Astyanax mexicanus: one gene and its partners. The protein of the gene in region 1 purifies or fractionates together with the protein of each later gene. This does not show direct contact. Links are inferred from orthologs where the notes say so. Each region holds a gene or a part of one and is shown in the gene's direction. Other genes may lie near its edges.

The links. Proteins that work in one complex are often made in the same cells at the same time.
Region 2: the proteins of polr3b (region 1) and uri1 purify together in Homo sapiens (affinity purification with mass spectrometry; 4 studies listed by BioGRID and IntAct, with this or other methods). This does not show direct contact. The link is inferred for Astyanax mexicanus from reciprocal best matches to the Homo sapiens genes POLR3B and URI1.
Region 3: the proteins of polr3b (region 1) and polr2ea purify together in Homo sapiens (affinity purification with mass spectrometry; 7 studies listed by BioGRID and IntAct, counting the BioPlex papers as one, with this or other methods). This does not show direct contact. The link is inferred for Astyanax mexicanus from reciprocal best matches to the Homo sapiens genes POLR3B and POLR2E.

What each region holds. Positions count from the first base shown.
Region 1 is NC_064416.1:20,872,697-20,880,667, reverse strand, and holds the start of polr3b (DNA-directed RNA polymerase III subunit RPC2), read left to right. Parts: upstream 1-4,456; 5' UTR 4,457-4,570; coding exon 4,571-4,642; intron 4,643-4,877; coding exon 4,878-4,910; intron 4,911-5,063; coding exon 5,064-5,120; intron 5,121-5,233; coding exon 5,234-5,298; intron 5,299-6,444; coding exon 6,445-6,520; intron 6,521-7,156; coding exon 7,157-7,257; intron 7,258-7,597; coding exon 7,598-7,689; intron 7,690-7,777; coding exon 7,778-7,895; intron 7,896-7,971. Other genes in the region: endouc (uridylate-specific endoribonuclease C), read left to right, coding at 686-807, 1,226-1,338, 1,912-2,062, 2,345-2,605. UniProt on the Homo sapiens protein: Catalytic core component of RNA polymerase III (Pol III), a DNA-dependent RNA polymerase which synthesizes small non-coding RNAs using the four ribonucleoside triphosphates as substrates.
Region 2 is NC_064416.1:20,396,052-20,404,008, forward strand, and holds the start of uri1 (unconventional prefoldin RPB5 interactor 1), read left to right. Parts: upstream 1-4,810; 5' UTR 4,811-5,147; coding exon 5,148-5,219; intron 5,220-7,405; coding exon 7,406-7,440; intron 7,441-7,949; coding exon 7,950-7,957. Other genes in the region: spata2l (spermatogenesis associated 2-like), read left to right, coding at 355-1,839; pdf (peptide deformylase, mitochondrial), read right to left, coding at 2,980-3,137, 3,230-3,824. UniProt on the Homo sapiens protein: Involved in gene transcription regulation. Acts as a transcriptional repressor in concert with the corepressor UXT to regulate androgen receptor (AR) transcription.
Region 3 is NC_064411.1:48,867,905-48,876,445, forward strand, and holds the start of polr2ea (DNA-directed RNA polymerases I, II, and III subunit RPABC1), read left to right. Parts: upstream 1-5,394; 5' UTR 5,395-5,555; coding exon 5,556-5,612; intron 5,613-6,735; coding exon 6,736-6,910; intron 6,911-7,062; coding exon 7,063-7,178; intron 7,179-7,332; coding exon 7,333-7,413; intron 7,414-8,541. UniProt on the Homo sapiens protein: DNA-dependent RNA polymerase catalyzes the transcription of DNA into RNA using the four ribonucleoside triphosphates as substrates.

The sequences.
Region 1 (7,971 bases):
TTAATCAACTACAGCTCTGGAAAAAAGGAGACCACTTAAAAATGATGAGTCAATTTTACCAAACTAAAAACTGGAATATAATCAAGAGGAAGATAAATGATTACAAGCCTTCAAACCAAGCTGACCTTTTTAAAGCTTGGATTTTTGCACCGTGAGTGGCATAAAGTTATCCAAAAGCAGAGTGTAAGACTGGTAGAGGAGAACATGCCAAGATGCATGAAAACTGTGATTAAAACCAGGGTTATTCCACCAACTATTGATTTCTGAACTCTTAAAACTTTATAAATATGAACTTTTCTGAAATTCCCTTTGCATTATTTGAGGTCTGAAAGCTCTGCATCTTTTTTCTTATTTCAGCCATTTCTTATTTTCTGAAAATAAATGCTCTAATTGACAATATTTTAATTTGGAATTTGGGAGAAATGTTGTCCATAGTTTATAGAATAAAACAACAATTCATTTTACTCAAACATATACCTATAAATATCAAAATCAGAAAAACTGATTCCGAAACTGAAGTGATCCCTTAATTTTTTCCAGAGCTGTATATCATATTTTAACTCTCACTCTAACCATCATGAAGTAAAATGCTCAGTTAGCTCAGAAACACTGCCTTAACATTTAATCAAGTAATGTTGAAGCACAAAACTGCAGTCAAAGCATCTCACTATCTGACTTCTTATAGGTTTCATGAAGTTGCTGGACAATTATGAAAGGTCCACTGGTGTGGCTGAAAGAGTTACTTCTGAGGAAGTAGCAGAGAATAACGCTTTCCTGGATGCTGTTTTAGAGTCTGCAGTCATGAAGGTATATATAAACATCACTGTCTATTTGTATATGCAGTCATGGTGCTCAGCTGTGTTGAATGACTTTCTGATTACAGTCTAAAGTACCAGACAATGAAGCACTGTGTACGAATGCGTAATGAAGTCATAACATGCTGAGAACATTACTTTAGCGTAAGACTATATAACAACATTGTAAACCCTGCAGCTTTTGCAGCACATTACTGTGGTTGCTGTTCTTGGTAAGCCAATGTTTAGTAGATTCCAGTGGGAATGCTGTTTCGTTCTGTCACATTGTGTTCTTGGAAGCTGCAACGGGAAAGTAGAATTCTGTCCAAAGCAATGTGAAGTTTTGTTCTGACTGCAGTGAATAACACTAACATCTGTTTAATTAGTTTAGGACATGATTGTTTTTTTTTTTTCTTCTTTCTGTTTTTCAGCGTGCTCATCAGTATTTAGTGAATAAAGGCAAATCTCAGTCTAATCTGAGGCAGTTTAAGAGTCAGCTGTACTACATGTGGTTTCGTCTTTATCACAGAGATAGAAACGGAGGGTAAGTTTCTCTCATATGTACGCGAGTATCCTTGATATTTTGTGGTTTAAAACAAGAGTCAAAAATGTGTACAGTCTTATGCAAAACTTTGACTGCCTCTGTTCAATGATATGTAATTTATAATTTCAGGTGAAAATAATGTAACATTTTTATGGAGAACACGTATAAGCACTTTTTAATACATATTCAATGTGTGTGCTGAATTAAAAATATATATATATGTTTAAAAATATATAGAACACTTTCATATCAAAGTTCACAAATAATTATGTTTTCACTATAATTTTGGATATACAATATGGAGCATTTTCTGTATATATTCTGTATGTTCAAATGTTTGTATGGTCCAAGTGCATTCAACAACTTTAAGTTGCACCCACTGCTGACAGATGATGTGCAAATGCACACACACACACACACACACACACACACAGCTTGTCTAGTTTCTAGTCTCTTGTGTAGCCCCCTCACAGCAATGCTCCAAAATCTAATAGAAAGTCTCCTCCTGACAGTAGAGACAGTTACTCCAACATGACATGTTTTTTTCTTTTACTTTTCTCTCTATCTTACTAGGGAGGACTCCAGTGGATTTGAGCATGTGTTCGTTGGTGAGACCAAGTTTGGAAAAGAAATTATGGGCCTTCACAACTGGGTCCAGTTTTATCTTCAGGAAAAGCAGAATCTTCTTGATTACAAGGGATACAAAGCCAGGAGTAACGATGTGGTATTGTCCCCCACACTAACATACATGCATAGAGTGCATTTACATACACATTCTAAATCAGATTACTGCAGTTAACTGATTAATTGTATATAAACGCCATACTTCTGTTTCTTACATTAGCGTAAGGTCTAAAAATCTGAATAAAAATGTGCAGGAGGATCTAATTTCCTTAGATCTATCATAGATTATATTCTAGTTTAACTGCATATTTAAAAAGTCACTTTTTTGCTTAGTTCCTATTCATCTCCACTGAAAAATGTCTCTGTTTCTGTCCCATTTTAGCCGGACGAGGATGACCACGTGTTAAATGTGCAGTTCAGCTGGCATGGTCTGGTCAAGCCTGTAGGCAGTACTTTCTTGGGTGTGAGTCCAGAGTTTGAGATGGCTGTTTTCAGCATACTCTTCCTCACTTCTACTGAGAAGACTACCACTGCTGTGGTTAACCTGGACGAGTACCAGCTGGAGCTGGTTGTTCACAGACACGGACGCTCCATTGGGACATCTTATCCCAAACTACTGAGCAGCAACAACCGACACTTATAGAGCAGATAGTGCAGTTCTGTTTTACTCATAGCTTTGTCTGTTCTTTTGCAGCTTACACTGTTTTAAATTAGCAACCATAATTAGAAGATGTGCAGCCTCTCAGTATTGTGAATAACATGTTTCTGTAGAAATCAGTACAGAACTGAGCTGCTGAGATGTTTATTCTTATATCTAAAATGCCCTTTTAACTTTTTACAAGAAATCTTTAGAAATGCTTTACTTTTTGTTTTAACTGTTTTTTTTTAAACCAAGAGTGATCTCATAACGAGTTACTTTTTACTAATGTACTTGTCTTAATGCAAATAAAGCTTTTTGACTTTGTTAATGAAGTTGCGTTTTTTTGTCTTTGTTTAGTTTACAGGTTCAGGACAACAGTATTTAGAATTTCACCTTTTATTTTTGACTGATGATGTAAATAACATTGATAACTTTTTCTATACCATCACTACCTGGTTCAAGTGGCACCTGTCTAGGGGTGGGATATACATATTAAGCACTAAGTGAACAGTCAGTTTCTGAAGTTGATTGTAGGAATCTCTGGCCAGATTGTAATGGCAAAATGACTGACTAAGTTTAGAGCATCTCCAAAACATTGGGCAGGTCTGCCACTACCTACCAAAAATGCTTTAAGGAAGGATATGTGGGAAACTGGTGAAAGGGCCAAGGGCACCTTGGTGCAATAATGCAATCCATGAAGGCCCCATCTTACAACTTACAGCATTTAACAGATTCTGTCCCTTGATGGGACGAGCTGTTTTGGCAGAATAAAGGGGTTTTAATGTTAAGGCAGTATAATCTATGAATAAAGTGGTTCAGTGGACTATAATCTGATTTTCAGTGATTTAAAATCATGTGTCATGGTGCTTGCTGTCAGCAGCCAGAGTCAGAGAGAGCACAATTACTCTCATTGGGTGGGCAGATGGCCGCTCTCACTACAAAGTAGTGATGGGCAGATGAAGCCTCATGGGGTGTATGGCACATTTCCCAAACTGTATCGACACTGTGTTGAAACTGTGTTGCTGTATCACTTAATGGCGACATCTGCTGGACTAAGAAAGTCATTGCAAGCAACTGCGCGAGGAAATGCATCGGTCACGTGGTTTTCCTTAAAATGATACGCGGTCCGACACAGGGGTTCGCCTTGTTTGCTCGGTGCATGCGCTGAAGTTTCAGTGTCGTCAGACCCATCACTACTACAAAGCTCCCAATGTAATGTTGGTCAGCACAACCATCTGCTAGCTGATGTATCAGAGCTAAGCACCCTGGCTTCCCAGTGGCATTCAGTCAAAAGTTTGGACACACTTTCTTATTCAGTGTTTTTATTTTTTTTTATTTTTTCCCCTACATTGTAAATGAATACTAAAGTAATCCATACTATAAAGGAACACTTAAGAAATCATGTAGTAACTTAAAAGTGTTAAACAAACCAAAACAGGTGGCTTTATCTCATCTGTTAACTTGTGGATTCTGATTCTGGTAAATCTGATGAATTTAACCTGGGCAACAGATGTAACTCTTGCTCTTTCTTCCTATCTCTACCTCTTTGCAACTTTACAACTGATGCTCTCAAACAGTAAGAAGACAAGAAATTCAAGTAATTAACTCTTGACGAGGCACAGCTATAAACTGAAAGCTATTCCAGGTGGCTCTACCTCATAAAGCTGGCTGAGAAAATCCAGCCAAGGTGTGCAAAGCTTTGAGGTGCCTCTGGTAATATTTATTACCGTTTTATGGTATATATGGTATATATACAGCACAGTATTGTTAAATCTCACTGTAAATTTCAGTATTTTCTATAATAGAGCACATGCGGAACCATTCCTCCGTGTCCTGTGTTTTGATTTAGGCCGGCAGCGTTTCAGTGTTACGCTACACACTCACATGTATGTGGAGCTGTAGCTCAGGTCCTGCTGCTGGACTAAGGTCGTGTCGTGTAGTGTAAATGTGTGAAGCGCGTTCAGAGTGATGGACCTGCTGAGGGAGGATTTTGGGGAGCTGTCAGCCCAGCAGCTCGCGGCTCCTGTCAGCACAGTGGAGGTAAAGCAGCTTCAACACAGCAGCAGCAGCAGCACCATGCTCCAGCTCTCTGTGCTAAGCTAAGCTAACAGCAGCAGATTAAGCTAGTAGCTGCACTGCTGACATGGGCGTTAGTTGGCTAACCTACTTAATTAACTACATAAGTGTTTGAACAGCTACAGCTTTATTAAACGTGTTTACAGTGGTATGATGTATAAAACATGTTAAGACAGTTGTCCTGTGTTTGTCTTTATAGGAAAAATGGAAACTTCTCCCTGCCTTTCTGAAGGTAAACACTTAACTTTTAATGTCCCCACAGTTAAAATGCACTTTAACAGCAAGTTAACAGTATTATGGGCCTTCATACAATAAAACGGTGGTCTGTTTGCTTCGTTTTACTTCTCCGGCAGCACAAATATTTATTCCTTTTTTGTTTTTATAGGTTAAAGGTTTAGTTAAGCAGCACATTGACTCCTTTAACTACTTCATCAACGTGGAGGTAAGCTGACTGAGATGGGAATATGATTCTGTTTATTTCTATTGAGTCTCTTAAGAAAGTGTGAAGAGCACTGATTTCTGTTTAAGACTTATGATGTCTTGTGATCTTTTCAGATAAAGAAAATCATGAAGGCCAATGAGAAGGTTACAAGTGATGCTGATCCAATGTGGTACCTAAAGTATGACCCCCTCCTCTGTTGTATATTTATACATTTTTATACATATTTACAGTACCCTCAAACGTGTGGACACATTCTCATTAATGTTTTTTTTTATTAGTATTGTTACTACATTGTTGATTAATATTAAAGGTCACCTTCCGTCGTTTTTTCTTTCATTTTAAAATGTCTAGTTGTGGTCTCTAGTATGAATGAATGACATGTGAGCCGTTTTTGTAAAAAAAAAGTGCTCAGGTGTCTCTGTATAGCTCTTTTTTAATGGACTGTTTTAGGGGTGTGTCCAAAATGACCGGATTCCAGCTTTGCTCATGAATATTCATACATGCAAACAGCATGCAAATATCTCTCCTCTGATTGGCTAGGAGCACTGCGACGCCCCTCCACCGCTCTGCCGCTCACTGCCTCCCACCTCCTAACTGATGAGCGGTGATGTTGCGTCGCTTCAGCTCCGCCTCTGGGAGTTTCTCGAGCCAAGGTTGGCTGGTCTGTGAGTTTCTGCCTACGTAGGCAGAAAGATAATTCAAAATTCACCCGTTTTTCGGAGGGGGGGAGGGGGGATTTCTTTGCTTAGCTCCTGCAGACAATGGGGGCTGCAAAACAGTTTAATGTGCAGGTGTACACATTCAACTCGGAGAGACCTACTGTATTCCACAAAAAACAAGAAAAATCGGATTTTCGCGGAAGGTGACCTTTAAATACTTAAGTACTATAAAGAAACAAATACATTTAAGTAGAATCACAAACATGTGACATAAAACACAAACCTGGTGCTTTGGGACGAGTTGGAGCACAGAGTAAAGGAAAAGCAGTTAACAAGAGCTTAGCACCTTTAGAAGACAGTTTGCGAACCATTCCAGGTTCTACCGCATGAGGCTGACCAAGAGAATAATGCCAAGAGTGGGCAAAGTTGGCATTAAATCAAGGAACCTAACGTGTAAAACATGTTTTGGCTCGTTTAACGCTTTTTTTGGTTTAGCTTATGATTGCACATGTGTTTATTCATAGTTTTGATGCCTTCATTATTAATCTACAATGTTGAAAAGAATTAAAAAAGCAATATGAAGCTGATTGTATTATTCTTTATGCATCCTGACTTTCTTTAATTGTTTTAGAATAATTCCTTCACTGTCTATAATACATTTACAGGTACCTTAATATCTATGTTGGCATGCCTGATGTAGAAGAGAGCTTTAATGTAACCAGACCTGTGTCTCCACATGAGGTAATCCATTAATATTTGTGAACTATTTGTCTGCAGTTCTGCTATAAATGCAAAGTTGGTGTTGAGGGTACAAACCCTATCTTCTAGGTGGCACACAAGTGTTTAATTACACAGACAAGGCATAAGGTGTTAAGGCATTTTCACATTTGCACATTATAGTCCAGTTAAATCAGGCTAATTTTTGTTTTCACCCATGGTGTGATTTGTTTTGGTTGGTGGGTGTAAATAGAGCATTTAAATAGCTGATGTCGAACCACGCAACCACACAGTGACCCAAACTGTCTTTGGAGCAAATGTATGCTTGTCGGGAACACAGGACCTTTTTTCTCTTATATATTTCTTGCTCCACCCCAGACAAGTCTGACTAATAAGCAAAGAGAGCCTTCTCACATGGTTTTTAGAGAAGCAGAGTGCACTTGGGTTTTTTTCTGTGTAAAATCAAACCTTACCAATAGAAAAATTGCGAATCTTCAAATTGAGCAAAAAAAAAACTAAACATGTGAAAATGCCCTATTGTGTCCTTGACCAAGACTTCATGATACATTTGCCTTCCTGTGTGGCATTATTCAAATACAAGATGCTCTGAATAAAACAATACTGATAATAATGTGTTCCCACTTTATCTTTCCCTTCCAGTGTCGTCTGAGAGATATGACCTATTCCGCTCCCATTACAGTGGACATAGAGTACACCAGAGGCAGCCAGAGGATCATCCGTAATGCACTTCCCATTGGAAGGTAATTATGTTGTTCTTTTTAAATCCAGCATCCACCAAACTGAAGACACAGACCTGTTTTCTGTATCTTCAAGAAGACCAAACATAATTTATTAGGCCTGACTATAGACATTTAATGTTTTACTTCCTTGTTAATTCATCATAAATAAATAGTAATCTACCTTCTTAACTCATGGGTAGAAACGCTGTTTACATCACTAACACATCACCAGGCTCTGTAAAAAGTGTTAATTATGAGAGAAAATTTGTGGCCAAACTTTGCATTGACAGCACTACTTATGATTGACAGCACTAGTCATAACTCATGCATTGTGGGTTTGTTTTTTTTTTTTTTCATTCAGAATGCCAATTATGTTGCGGAGCTCCAACTGTGTTTTGACAGGCAAGACACCTATGGAGTTTTCTAAACTCAATGAATGTCCCCTAGATCCAGGTATGTTCTCTCACATGGATATGTTTCAGGGCTATTGTTTTATTATTTGATTAATTGCTGTTAATTAACATTTTATGTTTGTGTGCAGGTGGTTATTTCATTGTAAAGGGTCAGGAGAAGGTCATTCTTATCCAAGAACAGCTTTCCAAGAACCGCATTATTGTAGAGCAAGATCGCAAGGGTGCAGTGGGAGCCTCTGTTACCAGGTGCTGCCATTCATTAAATCTGTGTGTCTTTTTAAAAAAAGAAATACATGAAAGGTGCTTCTTTGACTCCTTGTTT
Region 2 (7,957 bases), about 480 kb from region 1:
GGGCTCTTGGAATTCCACCATTGAAGTGTAGAGCTACTTTGAGCTTGATAATGGTGTAAAAACAATGATTTCTTTGCAATTCCCCTAAAGATAGCATTGTAAGCCTTTTGGGAGCATTGGCTATATTTCCGAATGCTGGGGGTAAACGGAGAAGGGCTTTAAGTTGGTAATCTTTTCAAGTTTCACAACAATAACTAATCCTGCCAGGAAAATAACCTATGAGCTGTCTTGGCATTAAACCTCTATTTTTACTACTAAGTCAAAGTGTTATTTTAAATATTTCGTATCTGTTATATTTAAGTCTGCACATAATTTAACTGCATTACACAAAGTAACTTATTTCCTTCTCTTCAGATGTTTTCAGGTATGTTCACCCACTATGTCAAACCTGCTCTGACATTACAGCAAGCTGAAGAACTCTTCAGATTATTAGGATACCAGCCTGCAGACACCACTGAAGAGGAGGAGCTGAGGCTAAGTTCTAAACCAGTTCACGCAGACTCTCTTCTTCAGCTGGCTTGTGCTTTCTTCACTGCTCGCATGGAGTGTCAGCTGCTCGGCACTGTGGTTCCTTTGGGTAGTGGTGTGAAATGGGAACTACAACTCATTCGGGAAAGAAAGCTTGGCCACAGCCTGCAAGTTGCACTGGAGAGTGCAAAGAGAAAGCTGCAGCTTGCTCCACAGAGCTCGGAGCATGATACCTCCGCAGAGCTCGATTTATACACAGATGACCATCAGGATCCTGGAGAATGGCCGAAGACTAATCACATGACTGCACCACCCAACAGTCATTACACTCCACCCAAAGGGACACCACTGTCACTCAGGGCTACTACTCAGTCAAAGAAAGAGATTGATGAAAACACTAGTAAGACACAGCCTGTCTGTGTCTCAAAGATGACTTGCCAGATTAGTCCTCCGCAGAAGACAGAGTTGAGTCCAAAGCCACTGAAAACTGAGAATGACAATGAAAAGCAAGTTCCCACACTAACAGGTGGTGCACAGGTCAAGGTTTCAAAAGTGGATCCACAGATATGCAGGTGCTTTGAGTCGTATGACAATTATGCCTATTATTGTGTCCAATGTAAGCAAATTCATAACTTGGAATGTCAGTGGTTGAACAGATGCAGTGAACAAGGGCATGATTTAAGGAAGGTACAGCAACACGGAATGGATGTGCAACCACAACCCACACAAAACTGGGAAAAAGCCCCCAAAGGTAACCTGAAGATGCATAGCTGTATGCAGAGTTCCACCTCTGATGTCTTCCTTGTGTGCCACAACTGCCAAAATATCCATGATTTTCAGTGTGATGGTCTGAGGTACTGTCAACTTATGGAACATACCCTTCAAAAAACAGGAAAAGTACAGCCACCTCAGGAAGAGAGGGATGGGGCTGCCCCACCACGGAGGCACACATGCCTCAGGGCAGAAGATCAACCTCACATAGTGTGCCATACCTGTGAGAAAGTGCATGACTGCCTGTGCAAGGAAGTAGAGAGGTGCAGAGAATCTGGTCATTCGATGGGATATTTGGAGGTAGTGAGCAAAGAAGAAGTGCGCACACCTTCTAGGCCCATAACTTTCCACGAGTGCTGTACCTCAGAACCGCCCATCTTTGTTTGCGTTACTTGCAGAGTCTTCCACTCCATTTCCTGTGATATGCAGTGCTCGGGAAAACATGAAATGGAGAGGCTAAAAGCATTTTGCGCTGTATGTTCATATCATAAAATTCACACACTGTGCAAGTACTGCTGTGCCCAGTATTGCAAAAAATGTTGGTTTAAGAATCCCTTGGAATGCAAGTGTGGTATGCCATTTGAACACTCCGCTGTTTAAATATGTTGTTACAGTTATAGTTTACTTTCTTTGCTGTCACGTCAAAACATTGGATCTCTATTTTTTGCCATGTTTCATTTTTTAATCTGGCAGTTGTTTTCATTTTGTGCCAAAATTACACGATTAAGGGACCAATATAATGCTTTTTATATTAACTTCAATTGAAGGTTAAGGATTTTTTGTCTCCTGTAATGTTGCTGTTTTGTAAGTACAAGGGTTTTGCATGACACCAATGATCTGATTAAATGCACTTTGTCATATTTAAAACACCTATTATTTGTACTCTATTGCTACTGCCAAATAATTATTAAAAAAAACATCACTACAAATAGAAAACTGAATAACAAGAGCACAAAATTACCATTGATGTCTATTGTGTTATACGAGTTGTGAATGTTGTGACATCAGACTACTGACACACAGTCAACAGATTTTCTTTTCTTTAATAAGCCCATATATATAAGTGCCTATATAAATGTTGTCCAGATTGCTTTTTTTTTTTCTTTTTATAATATTTTGTTTTCACCCTTTTTTGCAAAATGAGGTGTCTGCTCTTTGGTTAATGCACAACTGTTGCTGCTACTAAAAATATTAAAATAAATAAAATAGGTGATATGGAATATTATGTTTGTCGTGTGTGATAACCCATTAGAATTTACAGTTCAGAAGTATTTGCTTTTTTTCTTCACCAAGTTCTAGGCAGGTAGATTGCAAATACTAACACATCTTACTTTCATCATTTACTGCTGAGTGTTTTAAGACCAGTTTAAAACTAGTTGAACCACTATCACATGTTTTTTTAACACTTGCAGGAAACTAGTTCATTTACCGGACAGCCTTACATTGCTATAAAGGTTTAACAAAAAAATACAGTATACAAAACATATAACTGGATGTCCTCAAAATAGCCAATATCGTATTTATACCATTAACCATTGGCTTTTTACACATGTAACCATTAATAGTTCTTAAAAGTTCTGTTAAATGTTGTATAAATTAGCCAAAATATTACACAAAGCAACTGTATTATGTAATTTATATTTTATGTGATTAAATGAATATAGACCATTTTTATCAGAAATAAGTCACTTAAAGCAGCTTCCAGACAAGTGTACTCCCAACTTTTAATCAGCAGATCTGCTATTCATTGTATTGTTCCCAGTTCACATTAATGAAAGTTTTACTGTCCATGCGGTCAACGTAAAGAACTCCACCGAGGTGATCCATCTCATGCTGCAGTATCCTTGCAGGCCATCCAGTTGCTTGCCAGGTTACCGACTCTGCTTTTTCATTTAGTCCTTTGGAAAGAAATGTTTATAGATGGTTATCACGATAGATACACTCTTCACAAGCTATACATTATAAGACTATAAGATTATAAGGTTGTTACCTGTGACCTGCACAGAAATATATCGTGGAACAGAGGCAGAGAACCCTGATATGCTTTCACAGCCTTCCTGGAAGGTGACCATCTCTCCATCTAAGATGCGCAGCTGTGGATTAATAAATATCTTTAAGGGAACTGGGACCAGGCCACGGGCCTTGATGGAAGCAGGTAGGCTGTCCTCCAGCATCTTCTCTGGATACTCCAGAGCTATGATCTGGAGAGGTACACCAATCTGGGGTGCACTAAGTCCCACACACTCCAGCCTGCGCATGACCTTCACCAAGGTTTTAATCACTTGCTGCACCTCTGCTCCTCCAATAGCGCTGGGCTCCACTGCTGCAGCCTTGGAGCGCAGCACAGGGTCGCCCACCTGACACACGTGGCTGTATGGAGGTTTTGGTGGGGCTATGACTTTTCTTTTGAGGTACTGAAGGTATGAGCGCGCTTTTTCGTTCGTGGTGTGTCTGCGTACAAGTGCAGGGCATGTTAGTGGACATGGGGAGGAAGTCCTGGGGAAGATCATAACATCATTGGTTGCTGCCTGAAATCTCAAGACACAGGGCAGCAATGTCCTCAAATGTCTGTTTATGACCAGCATCTCAGTGGTCAGGAGTGCAGCTCTGTTTCACCTGTGAATAAAAAAATGCAAGCAAGCTTTTATCATTAACAAATAACTACAGAACAATGCTGGTGTGCAACATCTACCTCTATAACCCTGCATCGCACCAGAGCACAAAACCGTGGCTGTGCTGTTTCATACACAGTGTCTGACCACTGAAATTTCAGCAGTACTTAAACCGATCAAAACCTACTACTTACCTTCACGATTCCCTACTCGCCCCTCACAAGGTCTAGCATGTTCATGGGATCCGGAACATGATTTTTCAAAATAAAAGTTCACATACTTGTGAACATCTCTGTAATAAACAGCACACACATTATATTTTGCATAGCACTTGCATAAGTATATCATTATTTTTATGTAGATTTGATTTTATGGGGGTATTTTTGGCTTTTTAAATTATGTTCTTAAGTACATTATTATGAAAGGTTATTGTGGTGACTTAGAGTTTCTGTCTTCACATGCTTTGTTCCAAAACAGAAGGCGTAAAAAATAAATTAGATTTATACATTTATTCAAGAGACAGTTTTTAAGGACATATACGGACTTTAAACGCTTGTTTGCTTATTTAAGTTCAAACTTTAATTCACAATCCTTGCCCAAATCATAGTTTTTTATGTTCTATTTACTTAGAAATATATATAAAAATATTTTATTAAACTATAGACATATGGATTATTTAACGTTATTATTATTTAACATAAACATTTCTTAATTTATACACAGATGTATTTTGTGTATACATATGTATTCATGTAATAGCTCACTCCAGTCATAGTGGGAATGTTACAGTTGTGTGAAGAGTGTATTGTTTTTTAAATAAAAGAAAAAAGAAAAGAAATCCTTGATTTTCAAATAAAACATCGTGTTAAACTGGGCATGTGTTTGACTTGTAGATCGCTGTTCTCTTTAGACATGCGCAGACCGAGCCTTGCCTCTACAAATCGGGTGCGCGGCGGGTCACGTGTCTTCGCTGTGTTTTTGTTGGGGGACGAACATGGCGCAGACGGACGGACATTGCTGAGGGGATTGCACGCACATAAGCAGAGGAATAATTTTGGAAGAGGAAGATTTTGTGCGATGCGAGTGTGAAATGGTCTCAATCTCGATTTGGACCGTTTCTATCGCCTCATTGATGACTAAAAGGACACCAGGGCTGAGGAATACGTTCACTGGCATTCATAAACATTTCTATAGGACTTCAAACCCCTGAGTGTGGTGGAGGAGGTGGTGGTGGTGGTGGTGGATATACCCAATCAATCTGTGCTTGTGTGAGATACAGGAGGCCCACGGGACGCAATGGCTGGAAATATGAACGCAAATTATGATCTTCCGCAGGGTGTAGAGAGGCTGAAAGAGGAGCACAGAAAGGTAAAGAAAGGGGGTTTGGCTTGTCTGTGGACGCTTTCGGTTTGTGTTTGTTTGCAGCTCGGCAAACATCCTGTTTACACTGTTCACATTACTGTGTGTTAATTCCACACATCTAACTTTGCTTTCATTAGCTTCAGCCGCAGCTGTTTGTCTGTTTTTAGCTAATAGTGAAGTTTAATGAAGTAAAACACCGTAGTTGACTCGCTGCCGTGTGTTGTAACCTTAGTGCTTTCTAGAAAGGGTCAGTCACGTGTTGCATGGCAGCTGGGGTTCAGTTAAATTAATATAAGGGCTGTGCAAAATCCAGAGTTTTATAATCTAAATTAGTTCAGAAAATGAAAATAAACTGAGTCCACCTTACAGGATGTTAAATTGAATTTGAGTTTGAGTTGCAAGAAGTGGAACAATTCATTCTCATTACATATGAATGAGAGTGTGATACTTTTAACATAAAGCAAAATTTTCTTTCAGATGGATTTTCAGACACTAACATTTAAGCATCCATTCCATTAATGTTACATAATTAATATAAAATATATTAATTTCAAACTAATCAAATGAAACTGTGTACTTTACAGGATGGCTAATGTTGTTTCATCTAATAGTCAACAGTTCCTCAGATTTCCTAAATATCCTAATTTGTAAGTTATTAGCTACAGTTGCAATGATTGGTTTTATAGACTATGTATTTAATGTTAATTTGTAATCCATTCAATAATATCTGTATTAAATTAATGTTGTAATCATATGTAACATATACTGTAAAGATTCAATGTTAAATACACCTTAATTGTGTATAATTAAAATCTGTGCGATCCAGTTCTATTTCATCTAATTCAAATCTGAATTGCAATTCTGCTTTCTGTTTGCAACCTCAATTCAAGAATTGAATGGAATTTAGAGCTAATTCTCAATAAAATCCTGATTTTTTTACAACCCTGCTACATGGCAGACCTATCTAGGTAAGCTATTAAATTTGCTGCCTAAATTTGCTAAGGTTAGTTATCATTAACTGTTCTACCCCTACTAAATAATATGTCATTACTCTCAATAATTTAACAGTAATGTGTCTAAAATAATTTTGCATTTAGCAAGGGTTAAAACTATTCTTAGTAAAGTCAATTTAGCAGGCACATAAAATGGCCATCTAGCTAACTACCTAGTAGTGATGCTTTCTACTTACAAAACTTTACAAAACTATTTTTGCCATGAAAAAAAAAATATTTAGATTCAAGAGCCAGTTAATAAAAGGCATATAAGGATGTTAAACACATTTGCTTATTTGAGATGTATGGACATTCATTTGAATGTATGAATTCTGAAGTGAAAAGAACACACTGAAATATTGTCTCTCCTCAAAGAAGAAACATTTTAAAAAGTATGTTTTTGAATAGATTTTAGCTAAATCTGTAATTAATACTTGATCCTCATAATAAAATGACCCAGTATGTTTCAGTGGTAAGTATTCTTTACAGGTGTATTTAGCGCAGAGCCCCTAAATGATCAAGGTTTGTAATACACACACAGTTTTGTTTTAGGCTCATAAAGAGTACTCAAGTTCATTTTATCTTAAAAATCATAAATGCAATCAAAAGTAGCAAGAATATCCTAGATTATATCCTGTGAGCTAGTCTGAAGAACAATGTTTAGTTCCAGATTTCTAGTGGATGCCCTCAGTCAGCATGTGCATGTGTTAATTTCCATCAGCAGTCCACTTAAAATAACATCATTAAGCTCTGATTTGCCAAACCAGGTGTTGATTTGATTATGACTATAAATAAGGCTAGACTTACACAAGGAAATTTACTGAAAATGTCTGAATGAACACTATAAACCTGTTGTTTGTATTTATTGTAATACTAGCCTTTTACTGAGCTAATAAATACTTACTGCCCAGATTAGAAGCCTTTTCATACTGTAATTCCCACTAATTAAAACTTTTGCACAATACTCTATATACTGTGTTTTGCCAGAAAGAAGCAGGCATAAACAGACCTTTCTCTTGATTTAGCACAATGTTGTTTTTGTTTAGAGTGGATGCTTTAGTTGCATTTAGAAAACAATTTACTAATTTGAGGGAACCATATATTTAGTTTAGGAAAGGATTTATTGTTGGAAATTGTTTGTTTTATATGTTTCATTGTGTCCATTATTCTGCAATGTTCTAAAATGACTCCTATGAACAGGTGGTGAAAGACTGCAAAGGACAGATAACACATTGGTGAGTGGTCCTACTGAAGATTCATAAAATGTTAGTCTATTTTCTTGTTTTGCAACTTGTTAAGGTAATTACTGCTATTTAAAAATATATATATAAAGTTTACTGTATACAAATAAGATCCATTGTACAGATGTTTAGTGTTTTGGCATTATAATTTTAGTATGTGAGTTGAATGGTTCCAAATGGAAATTGTGCTCTCTCTGGGAGGATGGGATGGCCCACCCTCAACATTCGGCTTGAAGCTAGTCAGTAAGGATGTCTGTTAACTTGCAGATAGGTCTTCTTTTTGTGTTCTTCTGCAACCGCATTTAACTGTCTAAAGCACGTTCTAACTTTCACCCAGTGCTGTTTGCATTATGAGTAATGTGAGATACTTATCTAACAAGTTGGAATTGCCAATGGTGAAATTTTTGAGAAAATGGTGTGTGGGGGACAGTCGGAATGTCTATATTTCTTCTCTTCCAGACTTTATTGCAAACCTCATGACTATTTATTCCCTTGTCTACCAGGAAAAAAG
Region 3 (8,541 bases), on another chromosome or scaffold:
ACCTCAAACAATGCAAAGAAAACAAGTTCATGCTCATAAAGAAATCAATGTTTCGAGAAATAACCCCGGTTTTTAATCACACTGCTTTTGGATAACTTTATGCCTTTACTCCTGGTGAAAACCGAACCGTGATTTTTGTGTACCGTTACATCTCTAATGAACACACATTGATCTTGAAACCTGATGTCTCAGCGATCCTTTATTCCCTGACTAGTCATTAACGTTACATCAGAAAACGCCCAGTATGGTAATCTTAACTAGCAAGCTAGCTAAAATAATCTGCATTTTTAAATTATATATACTGTATGAGGCTAGATAAAAGGATTGGCCACATGTTTGGAAAGTAAAGTAGATAAAAATCTGACAGTTAGTAGGCTAACTAGGTTAGTTAGCTAAGCTACTAACGTTACCGTTACATATTAACACATTCAGCTTAGCTAAACAACTAGCAATATTTAATGCTAAGCTAACTAACGCAAGATTAAACATACAATATAGCCTATAAATATGAATAATAACCACTAAAAAAAGATACAATTAGCATTAGCTAGCTACAAAAACACAGCCAGTCCTGTCCCAGGTGAGTTCTGCTGGCCAAACCCAGCTAAAGCTAATGCTAAGCTAATTGCTAAGCTAACGCCAATGCTCGTTCCCACCGTAGCCAGTTAAGCTAAGCTATCCTGACAGAAACACCTGCGCAGCTGCGGAAGCGCTCTAAAAATAAACACCACACACACAAGGTCATCACCACAGTCCCCGTCCGTTGTTAAATACACAGTAATACAGTAATAAACAGCTACAGGAGCAGAAGAGCAGCAGCGCGGATCTTACCATGGCTCTGCTGAAGCCTTTTCCACCCAGCAGCCCCAGAAGCAGCGCCTGACGGACTAACTGCATTTTGATCGGATCAAGCAACCTGCGGAGCCACGCCCCCTCACTCCTTAAAAAGCCAATCATTTCTGATAACACAACCCAGAAACCCCGCCCACCCATAACCTCCTCCTTTTAAAGGCAAGTACCCCTCGCTGCAGAACCACAAGTCCAGGGGGTGGGGCTGGATCTGATCCAACTCTTCCTACGTCGTGTTTTCATTGGTCTGAAGCAGATCGGACTCTTCCCCATCCGGTTTTACTCACTCGCCTTTCGGAGTCAAGTAAACAATCACGAACGTGAAAGTAAGTTCATAATAGACACATTTTCATTTTGCTAATACTATTAATTAGTTTCGTTGGGTGATTTTACTTAATTGAAAATCTGATTGCTTCTGTTCGCCGTTTTGATTGTGTATTAATATCTGTAATAATAAATGAACATGGTAGCTGGTAGATAAGACACTCATTGGCATCCTTTATTTTAATTATTTATTTTTTATTTTGTCTTTAGGCCCTTTTTATTAAAGATAAAAAATGAAATAGTTAATATTTATATAGGAAATGTACAGCATTTTATTATGTTTGTAATCACAGACATGTTCCTTCTTTTAAATCTGTATTGTGTGATTTAAATGTGCTACGTAGCAAATAACATTTTGATCTATAAACGGTAAAAGTCTTAAGGTTGGGTTCCAGGATTTATTTGATAAGATAAAATAAGTCCTGGTCGGGAAACGTAAGCGACACGTGTTAAGTTTAACGACGAATTGAAATGCGATGACTTAAAACCAATGAAAAGAAGATATGGGTGGTCAGGAGGTCAGGCTCCACCCCTTGGATCAGATCCAGCCCCACCCCCTGGACTTGTGGTTCTGCAGCGAGGGGTATCTCTTTAAAGGGGGCAAAGTACAAAATCACATAAGCATAAATTATTTTAAGTAATTTTATGTATTTGAAGAAAACAGCCAATGATAACTCAAAAACCAGTTTCTTAAAAAAAATATATATAGACCGTTTCAATGAGGAAAACAATAACAAAGCTACTGCGCATGTCTGTTCCTTCGACGATTTATTTTTTTATATATATATATATATATTTTATTTAATAGATTTTAAATTGAAATTGAAGGGTGCACAAATTTACAAAAAGGACATGGATCAGATATATTCCATAAGTAAATAATAGTCCTAAGGGGCCTACACAATTAATAATCTTTCATTAATACTTCTTTCTATCGTTCAGTCCACTCCTGATCAGTTCAGTTAATTTCAGCCCTCTCCACATTTTCTCTCTCTCCAGCTCAACCATCTCTTCTACCCCTTCTAAATAATACATTACATTACATTATAATACATTACCACAATACTTGAGATTTAAACAAATTCTAACAAACCCTAAAACTAGCCCTGAACTAATAGAGTTTGGAAATGATAGTTATTGGCTGATCAGGCACATCAGGGCAGGGCATTATATATATATATATATATATATATATATATATATATATATATATATAGATTTTTCTCAAACCCTGAATATCTATCTAGCTAATTCTAAAGTTAAGCTAACTGAGTCACAAGCTGTATTTTATTAAACACACAGTGGGTTTAATTTATGTTTTGATTCAGAGAAGAGTCTTTTTTAACCAGCTATCAGAAACAATCTCATCATAGTTTACATGGTTAATTACCTTTCTTTTAGAAAAATCTCCGTATATCCAGATTAGTTTTAACGACAGCTGCTCCGACTAGCTGCCTGAACTCACAGCGAGGGGAGGGGCGGGGCTTCCCGCATACTAAACTGCGCTCCGCAAAACCAGCTAGCTGATTGGCTGTTTCTCCTGAAAGGCGGGACTTTCTCCTTGAACCGGCACCACGATTGGTTAAGAGACACAGCGGTCAGTGCATTGTCGCCTGTGGCCTATATATTTTTTTATTTAGTATAATACGGGAAATTTACGGGAAAATACTAATACGGGAGGACGGCGGGAAAGAGGAGTAAAATACGGTAGTTTCCCGGCCAAAACGGGAGACTTGACAGGTATGGTATAGGTAAATGAATAAATATGTGGAAATGTGGAAATAAACCAATAAATAAATGTGGAAATGTTAAAATAAGTAAATGAATAAATACATGAATGTTGAAATAAATAAATGTATAAATAAATAAATGTTGAAATAAATAAATGCACGTATAAATGAATAAATAAATAAATAAATATATAAATAAGAAATGTATTTATTAACCTATACAATTATTTATGCATGTTTTAATTTATTTATTTATTTATTTATTCATTTATATGTGCATTTATTTATATATTTATTTATTTATTTTAACATTTATTTATTTATTTAGTTTGCAGTCATGTTGCAGCAGTTCTTGTGGCTGTGGAACAGAGTGTATGGCAAGGTTTAAATTAAATTACATCCACTGTTTTGAACAGTGTTTACCGCAAAACGGAAGTGTCCTAGGAACAGCTACGTCACTTCCTGCGCTCATGAATATTCCTCTGAAACGGTCTATATATTATTATACAAGACCAGTTGGTACTTTCGGCAGTGTGGGCAGTGTGCCAAATGCTGTTGGAAAATGAAATCCGCATCTCCACAAAAGTTGTTAGCAAAGGAAAGCATGACTTTGGACTTGATAATAAAACACAGTGGATCAACACCAGCAGACGACATGTCTCTCCAAACCATCACTGACCATCAGTACAATTTGCATTTCATTTGGAAATCAATGGACCAGAGTCTGGAGGAAAAGTGGAGACACACACAGTCCAAGCTGCTTGAGGTCTAGTGTGAAGTTTCCACAATCAGTGATGGTTTGGAGAGACATGTCATCTGCTGGTGTTGATCCACTGTGTTATATCAAGTCCAAAGTCAGTGCAGGTTATACCAGGCGATTTTACAGTACTTTATGTTTCCCTCTGCTGACAACTTTTGTGGAGATGCAGATTTCATTTTCCAGCAGCACTTGGCACACTGCCAAAAAAACCAACAGGTCTAATATAATTTTCTAATTTTCTCGGATACTGATTATTGGGTTTGCAGTGGTTGTAAGGCATAATCATCAACAATAAAAGAAATAGACGCTTAAAATAGATCACTCTGTATGTAATACATCTATATGAGTTTCACATTTTGACCTAAATTACTGAAATAAAGTAGCTTTTTAATGCTATTCTAATTGTTTGAGATGCACTAGTTTATGGCCTACCACCGCATTTCTTACATTCTTCAGACATAACTTTCATAACCTCACCTCCTCTGCTACTATTCTGCCACCAGGGTGCCCAGCACAAAACAAACAGGAGCTCCCCAGAGACTGGCAGAAAGCAAGTCATCGTTTCCCTGCACATTTTCATGTCAGAAAAATATGTTGACACTGCCACACCGAAAACTCAAGTACTTAATTATACACTAGGCCTATACAGTACTCAATTCTTCATGCAGATTTCCAGAAAACACATTAAACTGTTGTGTACTTTCTTACATTGTAGTTATAATGTCTAAAGGTCGCACTGTTTATGTTGTATCTACAATGTTGCCACAAAGTCAACGTTACATAACATTACCTCTCACTCACAAGATTAGATTTGGACACATTTATATATTTAAAGACATTGTGACAACGTCGTAAGGAAACAGGCTGTCACAACATGTAACAGTGCCTGCTGGGTTCTAATATTATAATCAGAGAATAGAGTTTATAATAGAGGTTATAATTAGAAGAAATTGAACAAATTTATACATTTTTATACAAAAAAAAATAGATTTCTCAACACAGAACAATATCAAATGTTTAATATTTTATTAAACATTTTTATTAAATTTTAATATTATTATTAAATATATATGTTATAACGTTTGTAAAACTTCTAAACTCCGTGTTCTAACTGTAACTCCAGTTGAGCTTCCACAATAGCAGCAATGCTAGCGCCTTTACTGCCTAAAACCCGTTTACTGAAGAAAAACTAAAACATATAGTTATTATTTATTTGCAATTTTAACTAAATACATTAATATACTTTCCGAAATTAAAGGATTATCTTGGACAAGTAGTTAGTTAAAATTTTTTTATTGAGTTTTAGCTATTTAGCTTCATTCACCCCATTCATTTTAAACTCCTTCGCGGCCGCCCTCTAGCGGTAGGCAGTGATAACGGGGCAAAGGGAGTGGGTAGGCTCGGAGTAGTTTTATTTTTTATTTATTCATTTTATAAATAATTATATTTTTATATTTAACCTGCTTTACTCAAAAAAAAGAAAAGAAAAGAAAAAAAATATATAATTGTTTTATTTAACATTGCTTTTTTTTATAAGGGTTATTTTAAATTTTGTTCTGTTTTGTTCTTTCTATTTTTCAGTTCTACTTTTCCAGTTCTAATGTTATCATTATACAACAAATACGAAAATGAAAAGTTAATATTATTAAACACAGCAGTTCGTGTTTTAACGGTAATAATAATAATACTATATCCACGAGCTGACAAAATATCTCTGGAAAGTAACTGGACGCCCGTGTTTGGGTCCTTCTGTGGCTGGTGGTCACGTGGTGTGATTGTTCGGAAGCTGAGTGTGTGTGTGTGTAGTGTGTAGTGTGTGGATCGGGAGAAATATCAGTGTATTATTGAGTAAATAAGGTTAATAAAGAGGTTGTTAGTCTCAGATCGCGGTGATGGATGATGAAGAGGAGACCTACCGCCTGTGGAAGATCAGGAAGACTATAATGCAGGTTCGGCTCGGGGATTAAACTCAGCGCTGATTATCAGCGTGTTTTTACTGTGTGACGGAGCTGAAATTAGAGCTTTATTTAACCTTATTTCACCTCTTTTTATATAATCTAACATATAGATAGGTAGATAGATAGATAGATAGATAGTCATCCAAACTATGAATAAAAACAAATTGTGTTATTTTGTTAAGTGTTTTATATTTTAAAGTAAGAGCAAGACTTTCCTTTTGTTGCATAGGTTAAGTTCATCAGAGTTACCAGCATCGACAAGTTAACAGAACCCCAGATAAGAGCATCTAAATGCTTCACAGAGTATTTTGGTTTGTTTAACACTTTAAGTTACAACTTAATTACGTATGTGTTTCTTAATAGTCTGGATGACTTTAGTGTTCATTTACAATGTGGGAAAAAAAATAAATTAGAAGGTGTGTCCAAACTTTTGAGTAGTAGTGTATATATCTACAGAATTGTAATATGCATTAAGGTAGGAAAAATAAGGCCAGCTTAGATTTTGAATAGAGATTTTGATCAGTTTAGGGTATATATTTATTTGAGGTTGGTGGTTTAGCTGGTCTACAAGCTTGACCATGCTAGTTATCTTGATAACCAGTATGATCAAGCTTGACCAAAATCAAACATTAGGTAAGTTTTTACCTGGATTCACAAGTTTTTCAAACACACTGTCCATTAAAGACCAGCCTAAATTAAATAGTTTTAAACCAGATTCCAGCAAAACTGGTCTTGAGCTTTATTTCTTAGCATGCATATAATTCCCTCGAAGGAATACATTTTTAAGTTTCTAAATAGTAATTTTTTTACTTTGATACTTCAGGAACTCTGTACTTTTCTTGGTGAATCTGAAAAATATTATAAAATTGTACAATATTCAGACAACAACAGACAAAATACAGTAAAAGAGCGCATGAGGTTTATTTTTAGACAGTTAAGGCCTATATTTAATAATGTCATAAAAAAAGTCATAATTATGACAAAATTAAATTTTTACCCCTTTTTTCTTGCATGCTGTAGTATATGATGAAGCTTTGCCTTAAAATGTGCTAGTAATGAAGGTGTATGTTGTTGATGTTCTAACCCTGATATTTTAATTCTTGGTTTCTCTTAGCTTTGCCATGATCGAGGATACTTGGTGACGCAGGATGAGTTGGATCAGACCCTGGATGAGTTTAAAAGCCAGTTTGGAGACAAACCGAGCGAGGGCCGACCCAGGAGGACAGATCTCACAGTGCTGGTGGCTCACAATGACGATCCGACCGACCAGATGTTCGTCTTCTTTCCTGGTGAGCTGCTTTATCACATATTGGAATTCTTGTTGGCACCACCGTGCAGGAGAACATGCTGTGTAGTGTTTATTGGATTATTAGGGTGAATATGTGAGTTAAATCACTTTATACTTCATCGTGTTTTTGTTATATATTTTTTTATTATACAGAGGAGCCCAAAGTGGGCATTAAGACTATTAAGATGTACTGCCAGCGAATGCAGGAGGAGAACATCACCCGCGCCATTATTGTAGTCCAGATGGGCATGACTCCATCTGCCAAACAGGTAGAAATATACGCACTTCCACCCAATTTAAACTTTTTAACAATTACAGTTCTCAGAATGTATATTTTATCTGTAGAATTATTACGGTCTTTTAAGTCAACTGAAGAGTATTATATTGCTCTGAATGCTGTTGTTTGTGTATTTATATTTGCAGTCTTTGGTGGACATGGCACCAAAGTATATTCTGGAGCAGTTTCTTCAGCAGGAGCTTCTCATCAACATCACAGAGCACGAGGTGAGAAAATCATAATATTATTACTGTAAGTATTCAAAACATACAGTATTAATCTATCAAATAACCAGGTTTTATCAGAGACTTTGTGAAAAGCATTAAATATAAAAGTTTGAAAATCAAGGAATTGTACATATTTTAAACCGCCAAAAATATGCAAATATATAATACAAAAAATGGGAAAAAGAATATCTTAACATTTCAGTGGAAGTCAAAATAAAAAGTAAAAAGACTTTGTTGAACAACATTTTGGAGCTTTTCTATTGGTATATTTGTCATTTGTCAAATTTGGCCACAGTATATAGCATATACAGGTGCATCTTAAAATGTTTATATTTAAAATTTTTATATTATTAAAAAGTTAAAAATGTAAACTCATGTATTGCATAGATGCATTTCACACAGAGTGACCTATTTTAAGCATCTTTCTTTTATTGTTGACGATAATGGCTCACAGCCAATAAAACCCCCCAAAAAATCAGTATCTCCGAAAATCGATTCTTTGGGCAGTGTGGGCAGTGTGCCAAGTACTGCTGGAAAATGAAATCTGCATCTCCACACAGTGGATCAACACCAGCAGATGACATGTCTCTCCAAACCATCACTGATTGTAGAAACTTTACACTAGACCTCAAGCAGTTTGGACTGTGTGTCTCTCCACTCTTCCTCCAGACTCTGCTCCATTAATTTACAAATGAAATGTAAAACTTACTGATGATCAGTGATGGTTTGGAGAGACATGTCATCTGCTGGTGTTGATCCACTGTGTTTTATTATCAAGTCTAAAGTCAGTGCAGTTTTTCCCCGAAAAATCTTACAGCACTTCATGCTTCCCTCTGCTACTGACAACTTTTATGGAGATGCGAATTTCATTTTCCAGCAGGACTTGGCACACTGCCCACACTGCAGAAAGTACCAACTGATCTTATATAATATTCTAATTTTCTGAGATACTGATTTTTGGGTTTTCAACGCCTGTAAGCCATAATAATCATCAACAATAACAGAAATTACCGCTTAAAATAGCTCACTCTGTGTGTAGTACATCTATATAATATGAGTGAGAATATAAATATGTTAGGCACTGCAGCATATTGTAAAAATAGGCCCATATATTGTAGGATAAGTTGA